2 linked regions of the Pelodiscus sinensis genome follow. The protein of the gene in region 1 interacts with the protein of each later gene in a biochemical or structural test. Links are inferred from orthologs where the notes say so. Each region holds a gene or a part of one and is shown on either strand. Other genes may lie near its edges.

Region 1 (16,145 bases):
GGATTTCACCCTTGTCATTCATCTATATGGATCAACTTTCCTTAAAATAATAAATCTATGCACCAGCCAAAGGGGTGAGAGAGAATGGTCACTTGTAAACATGCCCGGGCAGGGACCAAAGTGCACTGTCTTGGAGGGAAAGTTCTATCTCTGCCCACTTAGAGAAAATCTGAAGTTTGTTACCCGCTCATAAGCAAGAGGTCTGCTGCCCACCCTGAAGTCACAGCTTCTAGAGCAGGTATTTTAATGGCATGCACTGAATACTCAAAACTGAGCCCCCTCACTTGACCTCCCTGCCCAGATGTGTGACTTTTATGAAACAAGTCTGCTGGTCAACTTGAATTCATACTATAGTGTTGATGCACTGCTGTGTGCAAATAACTGTAAGAAAAATCTCTCGTTATTCCTGTGGAGAAATGCAAAGTCAAAGCAGAACCCTGGAACGGCATGACTTTTGGACTGACATAGAGATAACCTGAGTTCAGACCTACATTCCAGAGTGATGCAGACAGAGAATGGAGATGGAAAAATGAGGATGTAATAAAAACCATGTTGTCGTTTTTTTAAGAGCACTAGTTGACACAACATTAAATTCTGTCACATGTTCCCAAAGCAGTTTTTAAAACTTGTAAAATAATCTGGAATTTCCTCAGGTTGAACCAATTATTAATCCACTCCACAAAATTTTCACTGAAGGCCCAACTCAGCTATCTTTATTCACACAGGATACAACTACACAGTAGCGCATACCTTGAAATAATTTACTCAATTTGAGCTACACAAATTATGTAGCTTATTTCGAAATAGCTTATTTCAAAATTTGGTGCTGTCTACACAGCGCTAATTTCTAAATAAATCACTATTTCGGCATCTTCCTTATTCCTTGTGCAATGACGTTTACAGGAAGCCGGAATAAGAAGCCTGTTATTTTGAATGAATTTTGAAATAACGAGTGCTGTTAAGAACGGGAGTGTTATCATGAAATAGTGTCGCTGTGTAGATGTACCCACAGTGCAATATCTTACTTTGTGAGTAGTCTCCATTGAAATTAGTGGAGCTATTGATGTAGTCAGGTCCTTCTCAATCTAAGCAATGATAGCAGAATTTACCTCCATATTTGTCTAGACACATTAAATGTTATGTCCCACAGTCACAGGTATAGTCTGAAACCAGTTGCAAAGGCCTTAGAATAAGATGAACTTTTTTTTCTACTATTTCATGTTGAGTTGCACCCAGTGACACAGACTTACTTCCGAATCTTCATGGCTTCTTTGTTATCATGCCTGAAAAAATCATAGGACTTGTACGACTGCACAGCTTCTCGACGATATACTCCTAAATTAAACACTTCACAAAGACAAATGAAGATGTGTGATTTGCAGCATCTCACAAATACCTGGTACCTTGTCATGAGCCAAGAAGAGAATGACATCCTTATCTTGACTAATACACCAATTCATAAACTATCCCTCCCACTAAAATCTTCCAGCAATTTTACTTCAAAATAACTTTTGCAATCACCACAAGAATTCCCTATGATTGAAATCTGAAAAACTTAATCTTCACCACAGAATCTCTTCTTTCCCTTGCGTACTTTTCTTCAGACCTCCTTAAGTTAATTCACATTTTTTATAACTATCCTCCTGGGTATCAGTATAGTCATGGGCAATCCCTATCCCCATTAAGCAGCGTGACATTCAGGCTTTGAAAAGAGAAGAGATCCAAGATAAGCAGAAGAGATGTGATAAGATCTCGTGCACTTTGCAAAACAAAAGTTTAGTGCTCATGAAAGATACCCAGTTGTCAGCCCTGGAAACCAAAGGTCTCTGCCTTAGTGAAATTCACCCTCATGCAAAGGGCCAGCACAAGAGTCTAGGATAGTGTTATTCAATCTTGGGTCGCGGGGCCACCAGGTTAAGCCACCAGTGGGCCTGGGCCACCTTGTTTACTTAATATGTCCACAGCTACCAAGCCTCGCAGCTCCCCTTGGCTGGAAATGGTAAACGGCAGCCAATGGGAGCGTCAAAGCTCCATGGCTATGGACACATTAAGTATACAAAGTGGCACCGGTCGGCCAGTGGCTTACCCTGGCGGCCTCACAACCCAAGCTGAAAATAATTCACTATGAAGCACTTAAGACCTACTTTGAGGGCGCACAGATTTTGTGCTGGCCCTCTGCACAGGGATTATAAGTTTATTCATGTGCAATCCCTCTCTAAGCACCGAATGGATAGATCTTGAGGAGTACTAGTGCAAGCCTCCCCAACATACTGACCCTTGCCAATCTGCTTGGAGAAACCACCTTGAAGGGGTCAAGTGGAATTCAGTTGCTAAGGATAACTAAATCTTCGGGCTCTCTGTTGGCACTGCCGTTAAGACTTTATGATGCAGACTCTTGTTCACAGGGGACAACACTGCAGTTAGCACCCCAAATAGTAGCTATCAAGTCATGTTACGTTTCAGTGCTTATACCCCTGGGCTGCACTAGGGATGTAAAAAGTGGGTTATAAAATAGGTAATAGCGTAACCGCTGAAAATGTCAGCGGTTGTACATGCTGCCAGCTCTGCTCCCAGGAAGGAGGCTTCCCTGCCACAGAGAAGCCACTTCCCTGGGAGCAGAGCCAGCAAGAGCTGTCAGCCTTGCCCCTGAGGAGACTTTGCTGCAGGCTCTGCAGCCAGCTCTCTAGGAGCCAGCATATAAGCAGGGGTGGGGGTGCCAGGCCAGGACGGGCTCACCACAGACAGAGGGTGCTCCGGCCAGCTGGAGCAGACCCTGCCTGCCGTGAGCCTCAGGGGGTGGAGAAACCCCCTCCCTGGGGTGGCCTCTGCGGTTAACCAGAACCAGTAAGCATTACCCATTGTGGGTGATGCTTACTAGTTAGCAGGTTAACCGGTTAGCCTTTCACATCCCTATGCTGGATTAAAACAAATGTTGCAGATCTGGGACCCATCGATCACTTTGCACTACCATGAACAAAAATTCACACAGACCTTTTGTAGGCACGCCAATCCAGTTGAGGTAGCGGGTTAATTTCTTGGACATATAAGTCTTACCCCGGGCAGGAAGGCCAATCATTACAATCAAAGTAGGGGAGTTGGTCATATAAGAAGCCCATGCTGCAAAGACGAGGAGGCAAAAATCATTACATTAATTAAAACAGCTCAACGCAAACACGAAGTCAGACACCAAATTAATCTCTGGCTAACTCACTGTGTCTGCCCATTACAGTGAGTTTTATTAGCCATACAAAAGATTACTTGCTGTGTGTTTCATACAGTGGATTCATTATCATGCCCTTCTTTCCAATTAAATGTTATAGCAACCACTGTACCACAGCTTTGCTCTCTCAGGTATTAGCTAATGAAGTAGGTTAACAACTGATCAGCCACCGTGAACAGGGAAAATAACGTGTGACTAATATGTCAGCCAAAATACGTCAGTCAGAGTTGAAAGTATGTACCAATTAAGCAATAGCTATCAAGGACAGAGGAAAAATTCTTTATTGATAATAGACGGGAAGCTAATTTCTTTCCATATCATAATGAACAAATGATCTGAGAAACAAAGTTGATAATGTTTAATCTGTTGCTAAGAAGCAGGATTTTTGACCAGTACTGATTTTGCATAAAATTTCTAGTATCTATTTAAAAATTCTGATAATTCTCCAAAAGCAACAGATGAATTAATTAATGAATCCACTGAGTAAAACTTTCAGTTTTATAGAACTCTACGAAAGAGACTGATTATAGACAGGGATATGGGAGCATGTGCTGCCATAATTAAACTGGTCAAAGCAAATGAATATAAACTAAATAGAAGACAAAATGGAAAGAATAGGACTTTCCTGTATCTAAATGGCCTGATGAGACGGTTTTGCCACACAAGACACAATTCAAATCTAACTGCAATGCTGATGGGATTTTGTCTGTTGTAAATCTTGTCAGTTTCAAAGATTCTGTTAAAGGTATATATATATATCTGTGCACTACTTTTGCCCCCAAGCTTCAATGCCAATTTTTTTTATAGTTTTATAGCCATATTTGTCTATTATTAATACTCTAAATTCTCTCACTTGTTTGTGTGGATTTTCGTGCATAGTAACAAAGAAACTGACTCTGGGGAAGCCATCTGTATTCCTTGCTGTCATAAGTGCAAAGTAAACAAATGGAAAAAAAAATGTTTTTCCCCATGGTCTTTTCCAGTCATAGTCATTTTAAGGATTACTTAAAACAGGTAAAACATTGTCAGACACAAACATAACCTTTGCATGGACGATGTTCCTTGAAATAGCTTTATAAAGGAACTGGAGGAAGAGACAAACAAGATGTTAAATGTAAATTCCCAAAGTGACTTAGGCTACATCTAGACTACAGGCTTCTTTTAGAAGAAGCTTTTTTTGGAAGAGATCTTCCGAAAAAACTTCTTCACAAAGAGAGCGGCCACACTGCAAAAGTGCATTGAAAAAGCCATCTGCTTTTTCGAAAGAGAGCATCCACACTGAATGGAAGCTGTCTTGCATGTAAGCTGTGATTGCTATGGATGGAATGGCCACCAAGGCACCTGTGCTTTTCCCTTTTTCCTCTTCTTTCGAAAGAACTTGCTCTTCACTGTCCACACATGCCTTTTTGTGAAAGAGCTCTTTCGGAAAAAGGCTTTTTCCTTGTAGAATGAGGATTACCAATGCCAGAAAACCCCCTGGTTCTTTAGATTTTCTTGCAGAAGAACACAATTGCAGTGTGGACAGTCCTCAAGTTGTGTTAGAAAAACGGCCATTTTTCTAACACAACTTTGTAGTGTAGACGTATCTTTAGATTGGGAAGTTCTGAAAAATCAGTAAAGACACTGAATTATGGGTTAGAGACATAAGCAGGAAATAACAAAATGAATGTAATATGGATAAGGGCAACTAGCACGTATTGGGAAAAAGTAATCCTTAATAAAGATATTCAATAAGAGTAAAGAGAGATACTTGGAAAGCAGTAAAAATCGAAGCAGACCGCTGGTGATTATGCAGCTCTAAATCATATCAGTGTGCGTGTGCGCGTCCTTTCCTACTGAACTTTGTGATTCTTTGCTTAAACCTGGCCTTTCACAACCGAAGACTAAGCCTAGGTTATAAGAGTTCAATGGAGGTTGTTAGATGGAATCAGCTCAACTTGTCACAGATGTAACATGCCCAGATCACTACCTGATGAAGCACATTAGATGGAAATAGGCAAGGTGAGCCACCTTAAATCCCTATTGAGTACAGTTGTGCTAGTTCTTGCCTAATACACGTGGGTAGCTTTCAGGAACAGACGTTACATTTAAACTCAGATCCACATTGAACAGATTTCCTTCTAAAAAGAGCTGAATTAAAAAACGTTATTAACTTGAAGGGTCAACATTTGTCCAGAAGAGCAAAATGTTCAACAAATATAACTGGATAAAAGTGATACAAACAAGAATTGTACACAGTTATAAACTTGTCTAGTACTATTTTTGGAGCCTACATTAAATACATTAAATTTCTGGGGATCTCAGGTCCAAGTACATATCATAAAAACACATCACAGTTCTTCCCCTTGCTGGCAGACTCAGCAAAAAAGGCCTAGAAATGAATGGGGGACAGAAAATGAACAGCCCTTCAGATCAGAGCTGAAGCATTTTTGGGAAGAGGCATAAGGAAAGCCACTTCGCCTTTACTATGCCCCGGGGTAGAAGGAATAAAGCGTGACTGATTGACTACTTCTTTTTATAAACAGGTAAAAGAGAAATTAATTGCAAGACACAGGATCTATTTCCCTAGACTGTCACAAATACTCACAACACTTTTTTTCTGAGACTCGGAGATTTGAAGTTTTGTTTTCCTGGTTGTTGTTGTTTTGCTCTGGGACTGATGCTGTATATTGTGACATTGCTGCTAATCAACACACTTAGTCAGTAATGGACCTTCAGGCTCTTGGAAAAGAAAAGAAGAACCAAACATAAATCCTTATGAAATCCGGTAGACAGAGCGGAATAAGATGCATAGCAACTTATCTGTGCTGTTCCTGGTGGCAAGGAAAGGAAGCCATGCAAGTCTCAAAGCTGTAGTCCAAGGTCACCCTCAGGTGGTAACATATGTAGTTGGCACAAGAGAACACAAACCATAGCAAAACGAAGCACAGGAGGAAAACAATGCCGCCTTCACCTAGAACATTAATGAATCATCTCAGCCAAGGAATAAGGGGAATGTACCTGTATTTACCCTTGAGTGCGAATCACCACAAATGTAAAGAAACAGCCTTTCCCCAGACTCCCGAAGCGGTTCCGCAGCTGCGGGGGCACTTTTTGGAGATGGCCAAGCAGCCCCCCCAGCTGACCAGCAGGGATTATGGCTCAGATGGTTTGACAGCATCCTCTGAGCCAGGGGGCGGGTCCCAGCACTCACAAGCCCCGCTCCAGGATTTCAGCCATTCCTCAGGCACGGACCTGCAGAGCCCCCCAGACAGACCCGCTGGCAGCGCAGGGAAACTGAGGCACCAAACCCCGAGCCTTCAGCGCGAGCCGTACCAGGAAGGGGCGGGAAGCCAGCCTGCTGCTGCCCCTGTCAAGCTCTGCGAGCCTCGGGCACCGGCCGGGAGCCTCCCCCAAGGGCAAGGGCATGGACGCACCGAGGCTGGCGGGCCCCGCACTGCAGCAAGGCTCCCCCGCGCCGCCCTGGGAAGGTTCGTCCCGCACCTGCTGGCCGACAGGGAAGAGGGCGGGGCAAGGAACGAGATGCAAATGATATGCTAATAGAGCGCTCGCGTGACTAAGACGCCGCTTCGCTGGGAAAAGGGGGGGGGGGGTGGAGACCCGCGGAACCAGGCAGGAGGGGCCATGCTATGCAAATGAACACGCGCAATTCAAAGAAGCCTGGACACGTCAGCGCGCCCATAGGCCAGGTATGTAAATGAGATGCAAATGTGCCCATGGATAAATAAACTGTAGAAAAGCTCACTCCATTTTTTTTTCCGAACGAGCGAAAGAACAGGAATTTCTAGTATGCAAATAATGTGCAAATATGCAAATGAGTTTATAACAGAACTCCGCCCCCACCCGCTCCTATTCCACCTTGACCGCGGGAAGGCAAAATGACGTCTCTTCTCCCCCCTCCCACCCCGACTGTGAGACTCCCCTCGTGCGCGTGTGACGCCACCACGGGCGTCTCCACCCCAAGCCGCGGATTGGCCGCGCCGCCGGCGCGCGAGGGAAACATGCCCCCTCCGCCGGGGAGGAGGGGCCGGTCCCGGCGCGCGCAGCCAATAGCCGGCCGCGGCGCCCGTTGTCGCGAGACTTGTCGGGGCAGCCCTGGCAGCGGCCGCCGGCCCGGCCGGCCATTTTGCCCGGGCAGCAGCACAGGCCGGGCAGGCCCGGGCCGGCGGAGGATGCTGCGGCTGCGCTGCAAGGCCCGGAGCGGCTCCCACCCGCTGCCCGGCCTCACGGCGCATTCCCGCCTGCGGGAGCTGCAGGCCGCCCTGGCCGCCCTGACCGGGGTCCCCGCCCCGGCCCAGCGCCTCCTGCTCGGCTTCCCCCCGCGCAGCCTCGACCTGAGCGACGCGGAGCGGCGGCTGGGGGAGCTCGGCATCCACTCAGGTGAGGCGCGCGGGGAGCCCCCCCTTCCTGGGGGGCGGGGCGGTCCTGGCTGCCTCACGCTGGGGCGGGGGGTCAGTGGCAGCGTCTCTGCCCCTGGAGGCGGAACCCAGCGGTGGAGTGAGGGGGGGGGTCACACTGGCTCCGGCCCCCCCCCTCGTCCCCAGGCCGCGCTCTTCGCTCCAGCGAGGCTGTGGGGTGCCCCGCCGGGCACAGCTGGCCCGAGGGGTAGGAATCTGGGCTCCAGGTCCAGAGAGCGAGCAGAACCTTCCCTGTCTGCTTCACGCTTCGTCATTCTCCAACGGACGTGGTAGAGACTTCAGGGGCGAGCCGACTTAGTCAGTACAGGGAAAAAAACAAGCACTGTTTATAGACACACACAGGTAGATGGTATCGTGGGCACAGCCCACTTCTTCAGACTGTTGGGGGTAAGAGTACCAATAGAGAGGTAGCCCCGTTAAGTCTGATTTTGCAAAAACAAAAGGAAATACTGTGTAGCACTTTAGAGACTAACAAGATGGTGTAATAGGTGATGAGCTTTTGTGGGCCAGACCTGCTTCTTCAGATCATATTCTGGAAGAAAATTGGCATGACCAGGGCTTGACAAACAGCGGAAAAATCTATTTGCCAGACCCACATTGCGCATGCCCGTGTCACCGGTGAACGGGGTGACCGGCTGAAGTGGACTTGCCATGGGCAAGTAGATTCACTGATTTGTCAAGCCCTGGGCATATCCATATATACCAGAGGAATACAATGAAAAAAGTGAACACATTATTAAACGGTGTTAATAACGTGTTCACTTTTTTCATTGTATTCGTCTGGTATATATGGTCATGCCAATTTTCTTCCAGAATATGATCTGAGAGGGCAAGTGTAAGTTGAAGTTGTCCCTAGAAGTGATGCTCAGGGCTCACTGAAATGGATGGCTTAGCAAGCATGTCCTTTCTCTAGCTTATTTCATTCTCTCCCCAGATACTGTAGCCTTGTGAGCATGAGTCAACTGTAAAAGAACAGATTGCAAAAGATCTAGCTCTTGCTGGAGTAAAAGGCAGCAGGAGCTTAAAAACACAATATTCTATTATTATTTCATACATGCGCACACAAACAATATTATTCTACATCTTACTGCTCAAGACAGGATGAGCAACAGAATACCAGACTTAATTGAGCCTGCCTTTCAAGCAGATTATAATTAGCTTAACTGAAACTCATTTGGGATGCTTCACTTACCACCCTTTTTATTAAAGGATTGCAAAATAGTGTTGTCAGTGACTTAAACTTATCTAGCAGCTTGTAAATATAAACATCTCTAAATATCACTCCTCTTGTGGCCCAGATTTAGACAAACTTGAAAATATTACTTGTTTTGCCAATTTAGAGATTTCAGCACAAAGCTTGTGTCTCTCTACCAGCCATATACAGTGAGGTCCCAAAGCTACTGTTATTTTCTACATCTTGCTGTGGCTTATGTAATTTATCAAATGGGTAATGCTTTCTATTGTGCTTATCTAATCTTATCAGAGAACCGAGGCATGGTACACTGGGACAAAGATTTGCTTCACTGTGCAGTTTTTCCTTTGTTTGCAATGCATTATGGTGATTCAATGCTGGATTTTATCTCATGTCTCTTTTTATTTTTGACAGGTGATACTCTAATAGTTGAAGAGGACACAACCAAACCCAAGACTGAGTCACCTGTAGTTGCAAAAAGGAGTGTCCCTAATTTTGTCAGGGGGGCAGTGCCTGTACTTGGAAGGAGGGTTGTTCCAGCAGATAACTCTTGTCTCTTCACAAGCATATTCTATGTGGTAGAGGGGGGCATTTATGATCCAGCATGTGCTCCAGAGATGCGCAGTCTTATAGCTCAGATAGTGGCAAGTGATCCGGAGTCCTATTGTGAGGCAGTACTAGGGAAAACCAATCAAGAGTACTGTGAATGGATCAGAAGAGAAGATACATGGGGAGGAGCCATTGAAGTGTCCATTTTGTCTAAGTTTTATCAGTGTGAAATCTGTGTAGTGGATACACAGACAGTCCGAATTGATCGTTTTGGGGAAGATGCTGGCTATGCTAAGCGGGTCCTTCTGATTTATGATGGGATTCATTATGATCCCCTTGAACGTAAAATCCCGGACTCAGACGTCCCTCCCCTGACCATTTTCTCAACAAATGATGATATTGTTCTTGCACAAGCATTGGAATTAGCAGATGAAGCCAGACGAAAAAGGCAGTTTACTGATGTAAACCGCTTTACGCTGAGATGCATGGTGTGCCAGAAGGGATTAACTGGACAAGTGGAAGCCAGAGAACACGCAAAGGAGACTGGGCACACGAATTTTGGAGAAGTGTGACATCTGCTTGAGGATGGTTACATCACTACCTCACTGATCCAGAATAAGATTCTGGGTTTTCAGATAAGCTGTATGTAAGCATAAAAAGCTCCCTTCACAAAGCTTGAAAAGCCCTATTAACTTAATTATTGAGACACACAGGTTTGTTATGGTTAGTGTGCAGGTTTACAGATAGGTATACGGTAGTGATGCTCTCTTCCCAACTAGTTTGAAATAGGTAACTTATTGCATGCTGGATTGCATGCAGATTTTAAAGTAAGTGGCAGCTGTTTTTGTTGTATGTCAACAGCTAAAAGTCCTGATTCCTGAAGAACCTTATTTTCTGATGGAGAAGCTGCTGAGACACATGGCTGGACATACACTTAATACTGTACCTAGAGTTACATAAAGACTTGCAGAATAACACTGAAATCTAAACTCTGAATTATGGGATTGAGTTAGAATCTTTCAGGACTTCTAAAATGGTGTTAGTTTGGCATTTAGAGTAAGAATTACATAACTTTTATGCAATTAAGCAATGTTTTCAGTAGACACCTACAGTGAACACTTCCTATAGAATTGGTAACAAAGCTGCTCTATATTGTGTCATAACGAAAGAAAGAATACGCAGTCTGATAGTAAATTGAGAGAAAGCCTTCTTAAAATGGAGTAGACAGTTAAATGGCCAATAGACTTAATATTTCCCCATAAGCACTATTTGAAATGTAGTTTAGTTGCTTGAAAGTTAACTGTTAATCCCTCAGTTTACACTACATCAGGATGTAGTTTCTTGAAATACTTTGACCCATACTAATATCTGTTACAGCAAGAAGGAATTACAGTAGTTCAGATTACAACTAGATTGTATTGATTAAACATTAAATCTAGTTTTGCTTAAATGTGGCTGATCTTGTGGGCATGGGAAGTGTTAAGCTGTACCAGGCTCCAAGTATTATGTTGGCACTTTTTAATCTATGGTTCTCATTCTTTTATAGGTCAAAGACTTGTTCTTTTCAGAAAATCAGAGCATTTATCCAAAAGGGAAAAACTTGAAGTTTCTTTGTATTGTGCCAGATATCATTTAACTTGCTCGATTTCTCCCCAGTGATTAAATAGCAAGTTCTCTATTTTAATAAAGAATAGAGCAGTTTTTCACAACAAAATAAGCTAGGTAAAATGCTCTCGAAGTGAAACAGGGATGTTGAAACCTGTTATACTAAAGAAGTATCGCTTTATGGGGGATTGATTGTGAGCTTAATATCAAGTGCTTTGAGATCATCTGAAAGATGTTGTGGCTGTACACAAACAACTTTCTTTTAGAGTAAATGCCTTAAGACACACATGTTGAGGCATTTAAATTTTTAGCCTTGTTTTGTTACTTTGCTTACAGTTTGAGACCCCTTCTGGACAGTTGAGCAAGGGGGGAACAAAGATGCATCCCCAGCCCTGATCAAGAAAAGCCTCCTGCTTAAGTAATTTCCTGAATTGGGGCCCTCATGAATCTCTAACTACGGGCATAATTCTATGGTTCTCCGTGGAACTAGAAATGTGATTTTAGTTATATGTGCATAGATATTTTGCTGTCTTAAGACCTAAAGAAAGCAGTACATAAATAATATCCACAAGAATATAATGGACCAGAATTATTTTATTCAGTATTAAGTGACACTGCTCATGTTTATTATAGAAATCAAGTGAGCTGTCATTGTTAAGCCCACTTAGCTTTTACACTTGTTTTTAATGCTAGACTAGAAGCAGATACTTAAAGCTATTGTAATGGGAGTGTATTTCATATGCCTTTAAATACTGTATTCTAAATAGTTGAGATGAAGCTGATTTGTGACTAGACCAAGGGACTATCAGATTCTATATTCTCAATTTTGTCAGTGAATGGTGATATACACTAGACAAATTACTACACCTCACAGAGGTATTGAGACTGTTTGATAGTTTGTAAAGTGCTTTGATGAAAGGTGCTACATAAATATAAAGTACTATTATTCTGTGCCATGTTTGCAAACTTATTTGGGGAACATAACTTCTGTACTACGAAATCCTTTAGTTTTGTGCTCTGAAATCTGCACAATAAGATTTGATGTCTCTGCAAACATTGTAATAGTCCAAACTGTCTGCCATGAATCCCTAAAATAGATACCATGGTCAAATCACAACTGAACTGCTGTAATACTTGAGATACTTTTAGTGTAACAATTAGCTTTGTTAAAATTCAACATTTTAATATTTCAAAGAGCAGATTTAAGTTGGAGATGGAACGGGTCAGTCATCTTCCCCAAAGCAGAAAGTCTAAATTCTCTGGGGAGATGAATTTAAAATAAATTGGAAAAATAACTTCTGGGTCCCTCCCCTGTGAGACCTTGTAAACTTGCTAATAGCAATCAGATAAAATGAAGCTAGCACATCTGTTAGCCCTTTTTACTGAACAGACATGAAAATGTCATGAGTGATTTCCTTAGCTCAGGGAATCAACCTGTGACTTTTTCAATGCCTCTTAATTGACTTGCACTGAAGCATTACTACTTTAGCTCCAAAATACTAAGTGTGGACATTTCCTAAAATTAATTGTTCAAGACAGAGTGGAACTGAAGTTCAGGTAATTGGCATTTGGCAATAAAGATTGCGTCCATAATGATCCAAATTATGAGCCGATGTGGATTGATGTCCTTAACATGCCCCCAAAATGTCATTAATACTAATTTCCATGGCGAATGTTTTAGCAGAGGTCAGGGATTTGAATGGGCCCTGCAGCCTGAACTTCCTAGCCCAAGAGGGGGATTCCTTGCTTTAAAAGTTGAGCACACTAGTATCATTTTGAAGCTGACTAGTGCAGGATTCGTTATCTGATTAAATATAGGACTTCATCTTCCAGGCTGCCAGTTTGGCACTTTTCACCAGCACTCAATTCTTTTTCCCAAGGAAGGGAGGAAAGAAGCTTACGTACTTTAATCATGTGGCCTTTTACAAAATTTTATATTGCATGAAGAAATACACATCTCATGGTGAACAGCACTTTAAAAGCTTGTCAAAGTTTACATGTTTAGCAATGTTTTGCAGGGACCTAGCTTGATGTAAGTGTGGTGTTGCGGTAAAATAACTGAACAATTTCTAAATCTTGATCCTCAAAACTTACCCATGTATTCTAGTGACAACACATCCTGTTATTTTGTTTTCAGCACAGGTTATTTAAGTACATTTCTTTAAACATGTGCCCTATTACAAAACTCATTATTGCACCAATAAAAAGGTGATTCATGCATGCACATTTATGGTGTAGTATTCATTTGTGGCTTGCATCATGGGGTTTAATTATAGTGGTGGAGATACCTGAATAAGTCAATAGAGCATGAAACAGTTTTCACAAGCTACTATAAACATGCAGTTGCTTAGTTCCAAAGACAAAGGGACAGGAACAAGTCATGCTGAAGTGGCACTATGTAAAAAAGTGTACATTCATGAAGTAAAAATTTAACTTAACCAAACTGTTCCATAGAATCTCTGGATAGTAATTCCATGCTCTAGTAATGAGTGCAGCAGTAGGCATATATTAATGATCACCTGACCAGGATGGTGATAGTCTCTCATCTCACTTATATTTCAGTCACTATCAAAATAAATGGGAGATTTCAGCTATCCCCATATTGACTCTGTACACATCACCTTGGGCTAGGATCCAGAGAGAAATTTGACACCTTAAATGACTGTTTTTTGGAGCAGCTGTTTCTGGAAACCCACAACAGGAGAGACAATTCTTGTTTGTCCTAAGTGGAGCACCAGATCTGGCTGAAGAGGTGACTGTAGCTGGATCACTTGGAAATAGTGAACATAATGTAATAAAATTAAACATCCCTGTGGTGGGAAAAACAGAGCAGCCCAACACTATAGCATTTATTTTCAGAAAGGAGAACTATATAAAAATGAGGTTAAGCAGAAATTTAAAAGGTACACTGCTGAAAGTGAGTTTACAGTAAACTCTATGGAAATTTTTCAAAGACCCCCCAGAATAGAGACTTACCAAAAGTGCCACTATGGCTTAACAGTCAAGTGAAAGATTAAAGGCATGTTTTAAAAAGTGGAAATTAATTCCTAGTGAGCAGATAAAAAGCATAAATGCTGTCAAATGAAATGTACAAATATCAGTCCAAAAAGAATTTTAAAGACAGCTAGCCAAAAAACCCTAAGTAATAGCAATTTTTTTTATATCTGAAGTAGAAAGCCTGCTAAACAGCCAGTAGGGCCACTGGATGATCAAAATGCTAAAGGAGCACTTAAGGACAAAGTCATTGCAGAGCAACTAAATATTCTTTGATTTACATGACGGAGGACATTGGGCAGATTCCCAAACCTGAGCCTTTTTTTAGGTGACAAAACTGAGGTATTAGAAGAGGTAGTTTTGGAATGAAACAAAGTGATAAACTAAACAGTATCAAGTCATCAGGACCAGATGGCATTTACCCAAGAGTTCTGAAAAGTCAAGTGTGAAACTGCAGAACTACTCACTGGTTTGTAACCTATCCCTTAAAGCATCTTCTGTACCAAAATAACTGAAAAATACCTAATATGACACGGATTTTTTACAAGTGCTCTAGAAGCGATCCTGACAATTACAGAGCAGTAAGTCTAACATCAGTACCAAGAATGTGGTTTAAACTATAGTAAAGAATATCTATGTCTTGAAAATTCTAAACATAATTTATGGGGGTAAGTTAACATGGTTTTTGTAAAAGGAAATTGTGCCTCACTAATCTACTAGAATTCTTTGAGGAGGTCCACAAGCTTGAGGACAAGGGGGAATCCAGTGGGTACAGTGTACTTGTATTCCCAGAAAGCCTTTGACAAGGTCTCTCACCAAAGGCTTTTAAGCAAAGTAAGTTGTCGTGGGATAAAAGGGAAAGTCCTCTCATGGATTGGTAACTGGTTAAAAGATAATAAAGGGTAGGAACAAATGAGTAGTCCCCAGTGTTCACTGTAAGATGAGTGTGTGGAGAGCCACCCAGGAGAGATTCAAATGCCACCCACCACAATGTCCACAGTCAGCAACATGTTTCTACTGGTAGTGCATATCCACACATGTTTCACAGCATATAACTCTTTATTTCAGACATGGATGGAAAAAATTAGAGGGAACATAGGTGGTATCCATCTGGGCTTTGAACTGGAGCCAGTCCTGTTCAATCTATTCATAAGTGATTTGGAGAAAGGGGTAAGCCATGAGGTGGCAAAAATTACCAGGTGATGCAAAACTGCTCAAGATAGCTGAGTCCAAAGCAGACTTTGAAAAGCTTCAAAAGGATCTCAAAACTAGTTGACTGGGCAACAAGACACATGAATTTTAATGCCGATAAATGAAAAGTAATGCATGATGGGGACCAAATTAGCTGTTATCACTCAAGCATTTTTTAATTCATTGTGGGCAGTTCTGACAACATCCACTGAGGCTACATCTACACTGTAGGCTTCTTGCGCAAGAACAGTTTGTGCAAAAGACTTCTTGTGCAAAAGTTTTTGCTCAAGAATGCGTCCAGACTGCTATGTGCTTTTGCGCAAGAGTGTCCATGACAGTGTGGATGCTCTCTTGTGCAAGAAATCTCTGATGGACATTTTAGCCATAGGAGTTTCTTGCACAGGAAATCCCTGTTCCTGTCCACACTGCCTTCTTCCACAAGAGCTTTTGCACAAGAGGGCTTATTCCTCGTGGGAAGAGGAATAACTCTTGCACAAGAAACCCTCTCTTCTGAGGTTTACTGTAAATTTACTTGCGCAAGAACACACATGCAGTGTAGATGCTCCGCAATTTTTTGCGCAAGAACAACTGTTCGGGTACGTCTAGACTACATGCCTCTGGCGACAGGCATGTAGATTAGACTACCAGGCATAGGAAAATGAAGCGGCGATTTAAATAATCGCCGCCTCATTTAAATTTACATGGCTGCCGCACTGAGCCTATCAGCTGTTTGTCGGCTCAGCGCAGTAGTCTGGACGCACGGGGGTTGACATCAAAGGCATTTGTCGACCTCCCAGGTATGGGATGAGGCATACCTGGGAGGTCGACAAATGCCTTTGATGTCGACCCCCGCGCGCCCAGACTACCGCGCTGAGCTGATAAAGAGCTGATCGGCTCAGCGCAGCAGCCATGTAAATTTAAATGAAGTGGTGATTATTTAAATCGCCGCTTCATTTTCCTATGCCTGGTAGTCTAG
Region 2 (16,697 bases), on another chromosome or scaffold:
CCGCCCATTCCCTGTCATGTTCCCCTCCGCCTGGTGCCTTCATTTCAAGGTGCTGCCCCAGTTACTGTCCTATAGACGCAGGGGCGATGCTGGCGACCTCAGCAGCCTGGCCTGGCCCAGCTCCATGTGCCCCTGCCCCAGCTGGGATGTGCCTCACAGACCCCCGGGATAGAGATGTGAAGGCTCATTCTAAGCACAGCTGGGTCAGGGCCAATCCCTGTGCACCCAATGCAGCGGTGCCCGTCCCTTACCGGAGCGTTCTCCGAATCCAGCTCCTCCTCCTTGGTGAAGAGGGAGAAGCAGTCGAGGAGAGAGACCTTCCCACCAGCGAAGCCTTTCTGCAACGGAAAGCAGGGAGGGGTGCACAAAGTCAGGGCAGAGGCTCAGGCCTGCAGGGAGGGGAGGGGGACAGACCGGGGCAGGAGCTTAGCCCCAGTCCCAGTCAGGCCTGGGGCACTGGCTGTGCAAGGCTGGCTCAGCACTTTGCTCTGAACTCACAAAGGGGGGCGGCCCTGCGCTGCCCCAAGGGCGAGAAGGGGCAGCAGGCGCGCCAGGGGGCTCAGGGAAGCTGCAGTAGGTGAACACGCACAACCCTGCCTGGGCTAGCCAGGAAGCATGAGGCCTCTGAAGCCCACTGCATCCCGCTGCTGAAGAGAGGATGAGCCAGGACAGAGGGAGCGGCTCTCTCCCCGGGCGCCCAGCTCCCACGGGCCCTACCTTGGGGATGGGAAGGGAGAGGTCACAGAAGACTTCAAAGGTGGTGGAGCGGTAGCCACAGGCCTGACACTTGAGGCAGCTTTTCAATTGGCCCACGAAGAGATCTGGGAGGGAGAAGGGACAGGTGAGCACAGGTGCCTCCCCGCCCGGTGCCCCCCGCTGGGTGCCCCCTGCCAGCTTGGCCCGGGACTGACAGGAGCCAAGCGGATGTGCGGCTCCTCCCCTCGCACCAAAGCGGCTCTAAGCCCCAGTACCACCCTCTCCAGGGGCCCAGACTCAGAGCCCCAGCACATGTGCGAGGGGAGGGGACTTTGAGCTCCACAAGGGGCTAGAGGGAGACAGCCCGGGCAGAGTCTGCCTGTCCCAGTCCCGGCTCTCCCTGGCGCAGCCCCCAGCCATGAGTCCAGAGGGACTGGGTAGGGGGCAGGAAGGCAGAGGCAACAGAGTCTTCCTAGAAGTGGGGGGGCTCCACCTCTGGCCAAGACAGAAGCTGGAGACAGGCAAGCCCAGGCCCCTTCACTTGCCTGGGGTGGGAGGGCAAAGAGCAAGCTCTGGACCTCCAGGGCCTCCTCCCAGGCCAGGGCAACCGTCCACAGCTCCCCACAACTGCTTGCATGGCTCTTGCCCTGACCTGGCTCTGGTTTCCAGCCTGGCCCGAGCCGGGGCCTTGGGGCCTTAAGCGCTGCCCAGGCAGCTGTGGAGAGCCATGGGCCCTCCATCTACCCTGAGCAGCGGTCCCAGAGGTGGGGGACACGTGGGTTGAGGGCTGCTCACGGGTCCCCCCTCCTGGAAGGTGGAGGGTCTGTGGCTCCCTATAGCTGCATGGGCTCCCCCAGCGGGGCTCCAGGTTTTGACCCCACTGCGGGGGTCAGAGTGGACCTCAGTGGGAAGTAGCCGGGCTCATGGCCCTTTGGGCCCCCCGTCCATCAGAGCCCCCCGCCCCGGGGCCAGAGAGATGCTCACCTACTATTTTGCTGTCTTCTCTCTCCAGGTAGCGCTTCCACATCAGATTGGCTCGCTCGTCATCACTAGGGAAAACCCAGGGGGGGTTGCTGAGGGAGATTCCCCAAGGGCAGCTCCCTCCACACACCAGCCAGAGGCAGCAGGAGGTGGGGCTGTGCACGGGGCTCCTGTCCTGCTGTTGGGCTGAGACTCCCCAAGCTCCTAGGAAGGCAGCCCCTGGACCAAGAGCAGGCTCAGCACTCTCGGTGGGTCAGTCTCCTCCCCACCTGCTGGCTTGCCCCTGGCAGCAGCTCCCTGTCCCCCAGGCAACAATGCGCTGCTGGGAACCCCGAACCACAGGGAGCTGCCTGCCAACCTGCTCAGTGCTGCTCCTGTCCCCGGGACGGAGCCAAGGTCACCAGCTTCTCAGCCCCAGCCAGGACACTGGCCTGGTCCCTGCCCCCATCAACTCCCCAGCCCCGGCCATGCAGCAACAGAGTCCCTGCCGGGGGCCGTCCTGCAGCTTTCAGGCCTTCGGTGCAAGGACCAGCTCACAACGGGAACCACGTTTCTCTGCGTGCTCAGGCGCCGCAGCCCCGACCAGCTTGGCCTGCTCACCTCAGGGGGTCCGCGTCCTCTAGCACTGAGGGCCATTTGGTATCAGAGAGGATGCTGGGAGTTTTGCGCCCCTTCCTGTTGATCTCCACGTGCAGCCGGTCCATTAAAAACTTCAGGAATTCCTGGGCGTCCTGCTGGCTAGAGACAGGAACGGCCTGTCAGAGCCCTGCCCCACCCCGTCCTTCCAGAGCTTCCACCCTGGGTCTGCCCCCAGCTTCTTCCGCACACCGGCTCCCCTTCTCTCCAGCCCTGCCCCCCAGCTTCCTCCGCACACCGGCTCCCCTTCTCCAGCCCTGCCCCCCAGCTTCCTCCGCACACCGGCTCCCCTTCTCCAGCCCTGCCCCCCAGCTTCCTCCACACACCGGCTCCTCTTCTCCAGCCCTGCCCCCCAGCTTCCTCCACACACTGGCTCCCCTCTTCTTGCAACCATCCAGGGCCCTCCACATGTTGGGTCCCCTTCCCCAGCTCTCCAGCAGCCTCTACATACTGAGTCCCCTCCCCAGCTCTATCCCCCAGGACTCTCCACATCCAGGGTCCTCAGCCCCACCCTTGCTCCCAGCACTAATCACATGCAGGGTCCCCTCCCCTGACCCCCCAGCCCTCCACACTCAGGATTCATCAGCAGAGGAGCTTTCCCAGCACTGCTGCTGTCCCCCCTGCCTGACTCAGCCCATCATCCTGCCAGGGCGGAGAAGCGGAGCTCTGGCAGGCTGCTGTGGGAAGGGGCTGTCAGGCAGGACTCTGAGGAGGTCCAGGCTACTCTGCACAGGCCTGAGATCACAGGGATCCTATGCCCTGGCTGAACTGGTTCCTCCAGGTGCTCATTATGCTGGCTGCTACCATCTGGCCCAAAGGCAGCTACATTCCCCTGGTGCTCTGGGACAGCCCCCCCGCTCCATGGCCGTGGGAGAAGGGATCCAGGGTCCACAGGACAGAACCTCTCACCTGTAGCCTGTGAAGGACGGGACGTATTTCTGAAAGACGGCTTTGAAGCGTGCGGGGTTCACAGCCTCGGTGGAATCTGGGTGCCACAGAGAATTGATGACATCTGCAAAGGCTGAGGGGAAACAAGCCACCAGCCCATGTTACCCTGCCTGCCCTGCCCCACAGCCAGCTTGCTCACCCCACCTGGCATGGCAGCCATGAGGTGGGGGAGCGGGATTTCCTGCTTTTGGGGGAGAGGCTGATCTCCAACTAGACCCTGCTGGAGCAGTCCTGGGGCGGGGGGGGGGGGGGGGGGGGGGAGGGAAACGAAAACAACCCCAGACCTACAAAATATTGCTTCCCCCATGCAGCAGACCCGGGGACAGGGAGGGGTGGAAGAACAGCTTGATGGGGGTCAAAGGGAGCACGGGACAGTGGGTGGAGCACAGCCTGGATCCTATTCCTGACTCTGCCACTAACACCTCTGCTCCCTGCTTAGTGCCAGCTCCCCAGCCTTGCCCTGCGGTGCCCAGAGCGACAGGAGCACACCCGGCACTGCAGAGCCTGGCCATGGGCCCATCCTCCATCTCCCCTGCTGGGCACAGTGTCAACAGCGCCATGGCAGGGAATTCAGCCCTGCTGCTTATGTAACGGGCTTTCCAGCTGGCCTCACTTCGGCAGGGCACTTACATAACCTGGTGACTGAGGCAGGGATTAGCTCCCGCTGCAGCAAGCCAGCTTTGGGGAGCAGCCACGAGGTGCCCGGCTGCCTCACCTACCTTCCGTGAGCTCCTGCGGGGCCCGCGAGGTGCCAGGCTGTTCCTGGAGGAACTCCTTGAGCAGGCAGTAGTCACGCAGGGGTTTGGTGCTGCTCAGGCACTGGAGCACGGCATTCATGAAGCACTGCAGGGACACAGGCAGGCAGTGAGGGCAGGCCCCATGTTCTGGGCGCCGGCTCCCCCAGCCCCTGCACTGCTGAGCACAGCCAGCCCAGGAGGGGCAGTCGTTCCTACTGGACATGAGCCGTGGAGAGCAGGGAGCCCAGAGTGCAGACACGTGCCAAAGTCTGTCAGTTCACCCTGCCCAGATCTGCTCCAAGTAGTCCCAGCCAAATCCGGCCACCCTGACAGCCGAAAGAGGGTGCTCCTGAAGCCACCTGTCCCTCACCACTGTGCAGAGACCAGGCTGGCAGCAGATGTAGGAGGGACACCGAGGGGTCCCAAAGAAGGGGGCCACCACAGTGAAGCAGACTGATGCTGATGATGGGGGGGTAGGATCTCCAGTCATTAACCCCCCGCACCAGGAAGATAGAGTCTTTGGCCAAATACAGCTGATCAACCACCCCCCTAGCTAGACTAAAGCTACTGCCACTCACTGCACCAGGGCCTCTCGGAGCCCCTCCGACAACACAGGCAGCACTCGACTCAGTCAAACCCCTGCCACCTGGGCTACAGGAGAATCACCATCAGCAGTACAGGGCCTCTGACACACAACAGTTGTCCTGATTCCATACAGCAGAGGGCAGAAGTGACATTCAGTGTGCTAGACACAGCAGGGTTTGGGCAGACACCCAGAAAGCCCCCAGAGCAGCCCAAGCCTTCCACTGCTGGGACTGCAGGGAGCAGAGTAGGGCGCAAGGGGAGCTACAGCTGGGTGGGAAAGGTAAGCCAGTTCCACCCCCAGCACAACTGCTGGCTTCTCCATGCAACATAGGCACAGCCCTTGGCTTGGCCTCAACAGACCGGCCTAGCACGCTGCTGACAGCGACAGGCACAGCCCTGCATCCTCGCACCCAGCATGTCTGCACGGCAGGGGGAAGCTGCTGTGCCCCAGTCCCACAAGCAGGCAGGCAGGCGCTGGTCAGAGGTGGCAGCAGGGGGAGCAAGGCGCCCGGTTAGCAGCGCTTCAAAGGAGCTCACTGCTTCAGGTAAGGGCCAGGCCCGGGAACACAGAGGAAGAGGCAACTGGGGAGGTTACAGGGACCAGGGTGACAGACTCATATGAGAAACAGCAGCACTCAGGGATCTCAGAGCGCCCTGGCAGGGCACGGTCTCCCCCACATGGCACATCTATGACACAGAAACCAGGCAGCCCAGGTCTCCGTACCCTGGCAAGTGCAAAATGGATATGAAACACCACAGTGCCACACTCTGCCCTGGTGTGACCAGTGCCACGAGGGCTGCACGGGGAGCATGGGACCCAAACTGGGCACAGCAGAGGGGGGTGCAGCGCTGGGAGCAGCCCCACCTCCCTACTGGGCTGTAGGGAAGACGAGCCACCTAGAGTCTTCCCAACTCCAGCAGGTCTGCACGTCCCTTTCCCAGGCAGCAAGTGCTATTTGTGACTAGCAAATGCAGGTTTGAAAGCCTTGCACAGTCGACATCCCGCCCCCTCCCCCAACCCTCCTCCCCTGCGTGCGGGGGGGGTCCTACTGTCCATGGCTCCCCAGCACTGAAAGCCAGGGGCTTACCGTGTTGCCAAGATTGCGGAGTCCGATGTGCCCAGAGCCCAGGAGGAGGGTGTTGTGTGTCTGAGAGACGAGAGAGAGAGGTGGGATGAGTGCCTGGGAAAGGGATTGAGAAGTAGCCAATTCAAGCAGGAGCAGGTCCGTGCCGTGATACTGTAAATAGGTCGATCTCTGCCTCGTGTCTCCCCAGGAGGACGGCCACGCACATGGCCAGCCTAGCCCATTCCCTCCATACACACCGAGCCAACCCCCTGCAGCACGGCCATCTCGTGGCCCCCAGAGACTGGGGGTGTCCTGCTGCTTGTGGCCAGCAGCAGGAAGAACATGGCACGTTACCTCGCTGGTCATCAGCAGCAGCCCCATCACCGCCGTGTGCACGACCGACTCCGAGATATCCGCCCCCTTGCCCTGCAGCTCCCGTTTGGTGGCCAACGTGCGGTGCAGCTTTCGCGGCAGCTCCACCAGGGTGGCTCCCTGCAGGCCTGGCATGGCTCCTGCCACACGGAGGAGCGGGCAGCCGGAGCGCTGTGCTTGCCCTGCACCAACTGAAGGGACCACTGGGCCCTCCCTCTGCCTCTATAAACCATCAGCTCATTAGCTGATCCGATTCCCCCGGCTATTCCGGGCCCTGCTTGAGGCTCATCTCTGTGGGATTAATTAGCAAGGAGAACTACTCCGGAGACAGCAGGTGCTTGAAGAACCGTAGACCAGAGAAAGAAAATACAACCCAACAGTCATCGACCCTGCCGCAGGTACTGCGAGAGGGCTGGGGTGGGGAAGAAACCAGCTGCCCCAGGCCAACCTGCCTCAGGGCTGCCATAGTTCACTGGATTGCTAGGTGGGTGCACGCCAAGCTCTCGCTAGCCCTGCGTGGGGCAGCAGGCCATGCCTAGCGCTCAGCCCCACACCTGTGCTCACACAGATTAGGTAAGATTTCCTAGAGGGAACCGATTAGCAGTTACACTATCAGCTGGTGCTGGGTGAACACACCTGGGAGGTTCTTTTGCTAGGAAAGTTGAGGAGCTGCAGGCAGGGACTGAGGGAAAGTTCTGGGTCAGGACATGGGGGGATCTCAAAGTTTGGAGATCAAAATTTAGGCATTTGGACAGTTTGGGCCATTTTCATTACCTGGGGCAAAGCCTTGATACCAGGCCTGTTGTAGGGGACGGTCTGTGGTTTTGCCTCTCACTCACTGTCCCTCCCCCACCCGAGTGAGCAATCCACGAGTCTCAGCATCTGTTAACTTCACATGCAATCCCACCAGAGACTGACTCCACAAGCTGGCTCTCTGCGCTGCGCCCCCCCCCCCAGCGGATCAGTGGAACTCCCAGCTAAGGAGCAATGGAAGCCGTTCCTGGAGCAGCCAAAGTTGCTGCTGCAGGACAAGTCAGGGGCTTGGGGGCTGCTTGCTGACTTGCATGTTGTGCCCCCACTCAGTGGGCCCAAAGACCCTCCCCCCAGACATCCCGCAGGCCCAATTAGGACATTTTGATGCCACCCACTCCCCGCAGGTTTGCATGTGTATGGTAGCGGGCAGGAGGCTGCTGGGGGAAGCAGGGTGATTGTAGCCAGACAAGGGACTCAAAACAAAATAAAACAAAAAACAAAACAAAAATCACTCCACCTCCAAGCCCCAGCTGCAAATCTCGCTGAGGCACGTCACCCTCCCACTACCCCAGTGAACCTGGCCATTCTGCCTCATGGCATGGCTTTCTACTTGCCTGCTCCCAGGATCTCACCCACAGGTGCTGGGTTCTCATGGGAATGAGGAGGCTGGGGACAGCTTGGGGCAAACCAGAGAGCACTAAGCCTAGACTCCCACTGGCAAGTCAGGGCGGGGGCAAGGTGGGAGAAAGCCTCCCCCTCTTGAGGAAGCCTGAGACTGCAGCCCCCAAACATCAGGCCAGGCACTGTACCCTGCAGAGCCAGGTGGTGTCAGCAGTAACAGGGCCCATCCACCCCCATACAGGGAGGACTGCTACCCATCATGCTCAGTAGATGTCAAACCACTCTTACAACAGAAGCCTTCTCCTCAGGCCTGCTCGGAGCTGGAGACGGGACCTTGCCCTTGGGTGGGCTCCCAGCCACTGGCACATCCAGGGGGCGCACATACTCGGGGGCCTGAGGATTGGAGGTGTGAGTCCTGGAGCAGCCCTCAGTGCGGACAGAGAGCAACGTGGTCGCAGGCCTCCCATCCAGCGCAGGAGACACGTTGACCCTCCTGAGCGAAGTGCTCCGCTTCAGAGCCAAGTGCCCCAGGCCCAGCTTCTGGCTGCAGGATGGGCTGCGGTCCTGGAGCGTCAGGCGGCTGAGCACCGCGCTCGCCTCCTCCCCTCGTCCCCCTGCCTGGCTCAGGTCCCCAATGCTGATGGACTTGGAGCGGGCAAGGTTGCTCAGCCTACGCTCAGTGTCCCGTCCCACCAGTAACAAGGAGAAGGAGGCACTGCCTGACATGGTGCTAGCCTGTGGGGAGCTAGGCACCTTAACCGCATGGTCGGCCTTCACTGGCCCTCGCCTGGGCACCGAGCCACGCAGCATGTCACTGCGCTTCGAAGCGCGGCCCCTCTCGAGCTCCTGCTTCTTCCCCCGATCGTCCAGAGGGATGGGCCGGGGAGGCAGTGGGCGAATCTTGGGAGCCATGGAAAGCCCATTGGCCAGGGCAGGGGAGGCGGAGGCGTGGCGCTCCTGGCTCACGGCCCGGTGTCCATTCAGGAGCTTGGTGGTGGCCTTGGGCTGTGATGTGATGATCTGCTCTCTAGTCCGGCTGACCCGGTGTTCAGAGGCCTGGGGCATTGTAGAGACAATGGCAAGGAGAACTCTGGGGAGACAGAGGAGTCAACGCAGTGAGTCAAAGCCAAAGGCATGCTAACAGAGCACGGCTATCAGAGGCAAGACCCCAGACTGCCAGGCCCAGCTTGAGGAGGGCAGTGCAGTCTTGTGGGTTCAGCAAGGGAATGGGAGACCAGGCTCCAGGACAGCGGCACCAACTCTGTGTCACGCGAGTGAATTCTCTCTAACTCAAAGTTGACTAACTGCATTATAGGAAGCAGCAACCATCCTCTGCAGCAGCAGGTGCTGGTCACAGCTGAAGCATGGATGCTGGGCTGCATGGACCGGTGCTCAGAGGCAGCACAACTGGACGTACCTCTCACAAGCTGCGAGCGTCTCTTCCCCACCAGCACCAAGCTCACACCCCTCGGCGGTGGCTGTCCAGGTGGAGATTCCCATTGGCTGGGGCCCTAGAACACAAGATAGGATGATGCAGGCACAGGCTCCCATGGTAGTTTCATCCAGGACATCTGGCCACCAGAATCTCTGCAAAATCTTGAGAGGTGGCTGGGCCCAGAGTGGCTCAAACCAGTCCGTGTGCCCAGGGAAAGGGAGGAAGGGTCTCCAGTGAGACAGGCCCCATATGACTCCACCCACCAGAGTAGGATAGTGCACAGCTGGGCAGGAATGGCAGGGTATCCTCAGGAGGGTGAAGAGGGAAAGCCAGGCAGAGGCTCTCCCTATCCTGCAATACACCACCACCTCACACAGCAGAGAAAGAAGTGGCCGGGACTACCTGGAGGCAGCATCATGCCATCTACCCTCCTTTCTGCTCTGCTTCGAGGACAGTCACCCGAGACAGCCTTTCACTCCCCTTTCAGCAAGTTTTTAAGGCAGAGAGTTAACGGGCTCTGGTGCCTTCCAGCCAAGGATCCCAAGCTCCAGGCAGGTGTAACAAAGGATATGTTAACACTGCAGTTGAACCCCCTCCCCCCTCGGCTAGCCTGTGCCAACCGACTCAGGCTAAGGTGCTGCTGAACTGCAATGTGGAAGTGTAACTGTTTACATGGTTAACCAATGAGCTTGGGCATATCGATTAACATGCACGGTTACACACAGGGTGCGCGCACATGCGCACACACACCTTCCCCTCCCCCTGCTCCATGTAACCACGGACATTTTCAGTGGCTACCTGATTACATAATTAAACACATTTTAACATACCTAGTTCAGGCTCAGGCTGGAGCCCTGCCTGTAGAACCCTGCCAGAGCTGAGACTGCAGCCCAAGCCCAAATGTCAACACCACAGTTACGGAGCTCCGTTGCCCAAGCCCGGTGAGCTTGTATGAGCTGGCACAGACCTGCCATGCACATCTAATTGCACTGTTGACATACCCTCCGAGGCCTGGCCCTCTAACAGCAGCTTGGTCGTCTATGCAGAAGGAGCCATTGATCCTACTGCAGTTACTGAGCAGAGCCTACACTGCCAGGGGGCTCAGTGGGTGCCTTGTGACAGTCTGAAAGGCCAAGGCTGAGTAGGCCCTTTTGACCAGACTTCTCTCCCTGCAGAGGTCTCTCCATTGTCAAACCCCCACAGGCTGCTCCAAACTGCACCATCTCACTCAGCTGAGGTGAGGGATCTGGGTGAGGCTCTTGTTTGTTCCTGAACTACAGAGATAATTAGGGTGAATCACTGAACTGCTAGTCAGGAGGTGGGTTGCCAGTTACTCCCACCAGCCGCCTTTGGCATGGGCTGGGCTTTGCTAATGCAGAGCTCAGAAAGTGCTTATATGTGGGAAAGAAACTTACTGATTCTCTTCTCAACACCTCCTAGAGGAGGAGCACTGGCCCAGACCCGGCATTCAGCAGAGAACACTGAAGAAGGCACTGACCCCACACAATGAAGCCAGCCAACACTTTATATACAGAATCAAAGAGCTCTGGAAGCCTTAATTAAGGTCCAATGGCACAATCCCGTACACTGTCATTAACTGGCTAGTGTGTACACATGATGCTGCCATCTTCTGGATAGAATCAGACTGACTCAGCTGTGTGTCATAAGCCCTATCCTGCTAAAAGCAGATGGAGATTCCCTTTTAACTCAAAAGTGTCACAATAGCAAATTCCCACAGTACCCAGTGAACAGAGCATGATCAGTTTGCTACCCGCTTTAGGAAAGTAGCACAGGCCTGCTACTGCTAAATGTCCTCAAAACAAAGGATGGAATATTCCAGACCAGGCCTAGACAGCAGATGGCAGGTCAATCTCAATTCACAAGGCACTTCCCTTGCAAGTGGGTTGGAGCAGTGCCCAGATTCTGCCCATCTGAACATGGCACTGGCCTAGTTATCAGGGGCCCAAGGACTACCCAAAAACTACAAAATGGGGAAGGCTGCATTTGCCTTCCATCTCCTATGCTGAGGGGCAGCCCACAGAGACTACAGATCCCAGCATGCACTGTTCCCTCTCAATTCAAGCCACCATGCTACAAGGCACACTGGGACCAGTAGTCTCTTCAGGCCACATCTCCCTGGGTAGCACCAGACAGCAAAGACTTTTCATCTCCTAGGCCTCGTTCAGGGCTATATATTGCCCCCCCCCCCCATGTACACATCACTCAAAGTGAATTTATTTTCAAAATATCCCCACCAGCCATACTCCTCTCCCTTCCCTTCCGCCCCCCCCCATCCTACATACACCCCTTGCTGCTGACCCACTTGCCCTTGCCTGAAGAGAGAACCACCCAGATACAACTCATCTGATGGAGTAGGTTTTACCCACAAAAGCTCATGATATAATATAGTTGTTACTGTCTAAGGTTCCCCAGGACTGCTCACTGTTTTCCACATACTGGCAGGGTAGTGTCTTAGTGCCAAGCCCAGTCTTCCCTCCACGGGTGGCCCGTCCATATAGGCGAACTAGGGCACCAAGTTAAATGAGGCGCCAAATGGTGGCGCAATATCATTGAGGGGTTTGGAGGTGGGGGCGCCGATTGCATGGTTTGCCTAGGGCACCAGCTGCTGGCGGCTAGTCTAGGGCCGCCCCTGCTTCCCTCCACCCCCCACACCACACCTACTTTGGTGACCTCCAGCTCCCTAGAGAACCCCTATAGCCCAGCCCCGATACACCATGCCCTAACCCTACGTACCAGCATCTATCATCTACAGCTCCCTGTGTAGAGAGCAGCCACCCCATATATCGCCCCCATATACGCACTGCAATTCCTATATAGAGGCCGCAAGCCCGCTAGAGAAATTCCCTATATACTGCCCCCCATATACACATTATCACCATAGGCAGGCCCCAAACCCCTATAACCCCCCCATGCCCCCCCTCATGCCCCCACTGCTCCCCCCACCGCCTAGAGTGACCCCCACTGCTCCCCTATCTGCAGCCCCCACCGCCTAGAGAGTGACCCCCACTGCACCCCGAGCTGCAGCCCTCCATAGGGCAACCCCCCCCCCAAACCCATCCCTACAGCCCGAGGAACCCCCGACCCCACATACCATGGAGGGTGCCCACCCCCTCCGAGGCCCTGGGGGTGGGTTTGGCCCTACCTCCTGCAGGACGCCATAGCAACAACTCCCGCACCAGACGCCGCCATGTTTGTTTCTGTCCCCGCTGCCCGGGCGGCGAGCGGCTTCAGTCGGCTCGTTGCGCATGCGCCGCCATCCCCGGGTGTCAGCGTCTAGGGCCAGGCCGCCCGTGCGTCCGCGTCCAGCTCTCAGTGACACAGCCCCGTCGCCATGGAGACAGAGCGGCGTCCTCCTTGCCTCTTAAAGCGACAGTAGCGCCCTCGTTGAAAGTTATTGCAGAGTCGCCAAGGCTTCGGCTGCGGCAGTGCTTGTGACCCGATGATCGTCACAAGGCCCTCCCCGGCCTGAGACATGCGAGGGGGCCCTGTGCTGGGGTACGGGACATACCATGTCCCCTGGGAATACCTGTGCTGGGGGGTACGGAACATACCACGTACCGATGGGCCCCCTGTGCTGAGGGGTATGGGACATACCATATACCCATGGACCCCCTGTATTGAGGTGTATGGGACATACCATATACCCATGGACCCCCTGTGCTGAGGGGTATGGGACATACCATATACCCATGGACCCCCTGTATTGAGGTGTATGGGACATACCATATACCCATGGACCCCCTGTGCTGAGGGGTATGGGACATACCACATACCCATGGACCCCCTGTGCTGAGGGGTATGGGACATACCATATACCCATGGACCCCCTGTGCTGAGGGGTATGGGACATACCATATACCCATGGTCCCCCCTGTGCTGAGGGGTATGGGACATACCATATACCCATGGACCCCCTGTATTGAGGTGTATGGGACATACCATATACCCATGGACCCCCTGTATTGAGGTGTATGGGACATACCATATACCCATGGACCCCCTGTGCTGAGGGGTATGGGACATACCACATACCCATGGACCCCCTGTGCTGAGGGGTATGGAACATACCACATACCCATGGACCCCCTGTGCTGAGGGGTATGGGACATACCATATACCCATGGACCCCCTGTGCTGAGGGGTATGGGACATACCATATACCCATGGACCCCCTGTGCTGAGGGGTATGGGACATACCATATACCCATGGACCCCCTGTGCTGAGGGGTATGGAACATACCATATACCCATGGACCCCCTGTGCTGAGGGGTATGGGACATACCACATACCCATGGTCCCCCCTGTGCTGAGGGGTATGGGACATACCATATACCCATGAACCCCCTGTTCTGAGGGGTATGGAACATACCACATACCCATGGACCCCCTGTGCTGAGGGGTATGGAACATACCATATACCCATGGACCCCCTGTGCTGAGGGGTATGGGACATACCACATACCCATGGTCCCCCCTGTGCTGAGGGGTATGGGACATACCACATACCCATGGTCCCCCCTGTGCTGAGGGGTATGGGACATACCATATACCCATGGACCCCCTGTGCTGAGGGGTATGGAACATACCATATAGCCATGGACTCCCTGTGGTGGGGGGTTTGGGACATAGCACATACCCTGGGGGCTCCTGTGCTGGGGGGTACGGGACATACCATGTCCGCTGGGGACCCCTGTGCTGGGGGACGGGACACACCACATCTATGCTACAGGGTGCAGAGACGCGGCGCTAGAAGTGCAAGTAAAAGGGGCAAGACCCAAGCGTGGCCAAGCTGCCGGTTAAGGACACGTCCTTTGGTGAACCTGCGAGCACACGGGCATGCGCCGCTCCCCACCCTGCTGCAGGGGTCCCAGGATATGGCGTGGAAACACTACGCTAGCCCCGGGCGAAGTGCATTGGAGCAGGGCAGGGTTGGTGCTGGTGGCAGAGGACGGTACTTTGCAGAGTTACGCCTTCTTTCATTGAAAGGTCCCATCCGCACTTGGCCAATTCAGCCTGTTATCTAGGATTACTCTTAGATGTTTGGCTGATGCTGAGTGCTCACATAGCAACTGCCCAAGTGACACCCTCCGCCATCTCTGCTTGGGAGGAGACTCCGACTCACCCTGGCAGATAATGACCTAACCTACATTATTAATGCCCATGTCACCTCTCAGTTGGATGGCAGCCATGCAATAGACATGGGCGCGAAGGCTTTGGCCCTGAGAATACTCCAGCTGGTACAGAACGATGCACTGAAACAACATAGCAAGAGTTGGGGATGGATTCACCGTCACTGGCCATTTTAAAACCCAGATTGGACTGTTATTTAAAACTCTTTGGGGAAGTCCCTGGTAGGGATGTAACAGTGTAGTCGATTAACCGATTAATCAATAAGCACAAGCTTATACGTTAATGCTATAGACTACACGCATTTCCCTCCCCCACTCTTGCCAATAAATTTTTAGCAGGCTGGCCAGCAGCCTGGCTCAGTTCTGGCTCCTGCTGGGTCCAGAACCTACCCCAGCTATAGCTCTGCATTTAAAGTGTATTAGGAGCCAGGTGGGCAGGCTGCCTGGCTCAATTCTGGCTCACATCGGGTCCAGGAGCTTAGAACCTCCCCCCACTTAGACAGGGGCTGCTGCTACCCCATTCTGCTGCCTCTTTATCAGAGGCAGCAGCACTGGGCGACAGGCAGCAGGTCCAGAAGGGAAGCTGGTTTTTAAACTGGCTCCCCTCATAGACCAGCTCCTGCCTGGCACCCTGCACTGCTGCCTCTGATACAATGGCTGCCAGCCCCGCTCCTGGGAACTATAAAATAGTTGACTAACAGATAAAAATTCATGAGGCAACTTGATTATTAAATTAACCAATATTTAACATCCCTAGTCCTCAGGCCCAGGAGTGCCCTGAGGCTGGCTGTGGCAACTAGCGCCCCAGGTGGAAGGCGTGATTGGCGCCCCCACCTGCACGGCCATCAATGGCCTTGATGTCATTATCAGGCGCCCAGGCCGGCGACGCCCTAGGCAACCGCTGAGTCTGCCTAGGCTCATGGGCCGCCCCTGTTCAGGCCTGTGTTATCCAGAACAGACTGGATGATCACAGTGGTCTCTTCTGGCCTTGTAATCTATGAATCCATAAAACCAGGCCTGTATGTTACAGTGGAAAACTGCTGCATGATGATTCCTGACAAAGCTGAAAATACCTTCTTCAAGGAACTTTTCTTAGGAATTTGGCTTCATTAAATAAACTGATAATCTGCTCTTCTCTTTCCCATGTTAGCTTGCAGCAACTGAGAACCTGTTTGTGTATTTTCAATGTGTTTGGGTGAGTAACAAAGCTACGCAATAAAACACTAGCTGGTTTAAATGTATTTATGCTTCAAGTGGCTTATCTGTATAATAGGATCCATGTTCAGGGAAGTTCTCTGGCCTGCATTCTGCAGGAGGTCAGAGATTATCACAATGGTCCCTTCTGGCCTTAAACTAAGAATCTCAGTTACTTTCAATACCTGTCTAGCTATTTAGGGAAGGGAGACGCACGGGGTACAGCAATTACTCAACTTTTCCAGACTACTGTACCTGATTCAGCAATCTGATTGGTCTTGCGTACCCTCAAGTTTCACCTCACTTAAAAACTATTTACTTACAAAATCAGACTTAACAATATAAAAGTGTCACTGCCACTGAACATTTGTGAACTTTCTCTTTTTTTTTTACCATATAATCAAATCAATTGGAATATAAATATTGTACCTACATTTCAATGGTTACGTCTACACTGGCATGATTTTCCAGAAATGCTTTTAACGGAAAAGGTTTTCCGTTAAAAGTATTTCCGGAAAAGCGCGTCTAGATTGGCGGGACGCTTTTCCGGAGAAGCACTTTTTCCGGAAAAGCATCCGTGGCCAATCTAGACACGCTTTTCCGCAAAAAAGCCCCTATTGTCATTTTCGCGATCGGGGCTTTTTTGTGGAAAACACTACTGTGCTGTCTACACTGGCCCTTTTCTGGAATAGGTTTCCGGAAAAAGACTTTTGCCCGAACGGGAGCAGCATAGTATTTCCGGAAAAGCACTGATGATTTTACATTAGATTGTCAGTGCTTTTCCGGAAATTCAAGCGGCCAGTGTAGACAGCTGGCAAGTTTTTCCGGAAAAGCGGCTGATTTTCCAGAATAACTTGCCAGTGTAGACACAGCCAATGTGTAGTATAGAGCGGTACAAACAAGTCATTGCATGCAATTATAGTTTCTACTGATTTCACTCATGGTTTTTATGTTGCCAGTTGTAAAACTAGGCAAATATCTAGATGAGCTGATGTACTCCCTGGAAGACCTCTGCGTATCCCTGGTTAAGAACCACTGGAGTACAGGGTGGGGTGAATGTTTCTTTTATGGCTTTAAAAGTAAAATAACTACTGTCCTGAAAACCTGGACATTTTCCCAATTCCCTCCCCCTTAAGGATGGGATGAGCACCTGCATACACTGATTTACTCTGAACCAATAATTAACAGCTATCCCATTTGCATGACTTGTAACTGTAACAACGTAGTCGTATTACAAGCGCTTTCTCCGTTCATGAGTATAAGGGGTTTAATCAGACTATAGAAAAGCATATAAGCATTGACAATACACGTGCTTTCTTTTTGGCTTTAAAATCATTGATCTGATGTAGGTATGTGAATGGTTAAAACTGGTTAACCTTAACAGGTGATTCTTACCAGTTTTGGTTAACCGATGGGCAGGGGCAGATGAGAGTGCCGCGGGGCCCAGGGCAGCACCGCGGGGACCTTGGCAGTGAAATTTTGCGGGGCCCCTCCTTTGACACGGAGCATGCGCCGTGGCGC

The links.
Region 2: the proteins of YOD1 (region 1) and USP21 form a complex in vitro, tested with the Homo sapiens proteins (2 studies listed by BioGRID, with this or other methods). The link is inferred for Pelodiscus sinensis from reciprocal best matches to the Homo sapiens genes YOD1 and USP21.

The regions. Positions count from the first base shown.
Region 1 is NC_134737.1:5,462,221-5,478,365, forward strand, and holds YOD1 (ubiquitin thioesterase OTU1), read left to right. Parts: upstream 1-7,229; 5' UTR 7,230-7,392; coding exon 7,393-7,600; intron 7,601-9,244; coding exon 9,245-9,951; 3' UTR 9,952-13,208; downstream 13,209-16,145. Other genes in the region: PFKFB2 (6-phosphofructo-2-kinase/fructose-2,6-bisphosphatase 2), read right to left, coding at 1,251-1,347, 2,992-3,117, 5,808-5,898. UniProt on the Homo sapiens protein: Hydrolase that can remove conjugated ubiquitin from proteins and participates in endoplasmic reticulum-associated degradation (ERAD) for misfolded lumenal proteins.
Region 2 is NC_134734.1:13,510,520-13,527,216, reverse strand, and holds the start of USP21 (ubiquitin carboxyl-terminal hydrolase 21), read right to left. Parts: upstream 8,963-16,697; 5' UTR 8,948-8,962; coding exon 8,814-8,947; intron 8,487-8,813; coding exon 7,685-8,486; intron 5,732-7,684; coding exon 5,672-5,731; intron 4,105-5,671; coding exon 3,981-4,104; intron 3,335-3,980; coding exon 3,223-3,334; intron 2,416-3,222; coding exon 2,278-2,415; intron 1,746-2,277; coding exon 1,681-1,745; intron 822-1,680; coding exon 718-821; intron 339-717; coding exon 252-338; intron 1-251. UniProt on the Homo sapiens protein: Deubiquitinates histone H2A, a specific tag for epigenetic transcriptional repression, thereby acting as a coactivator.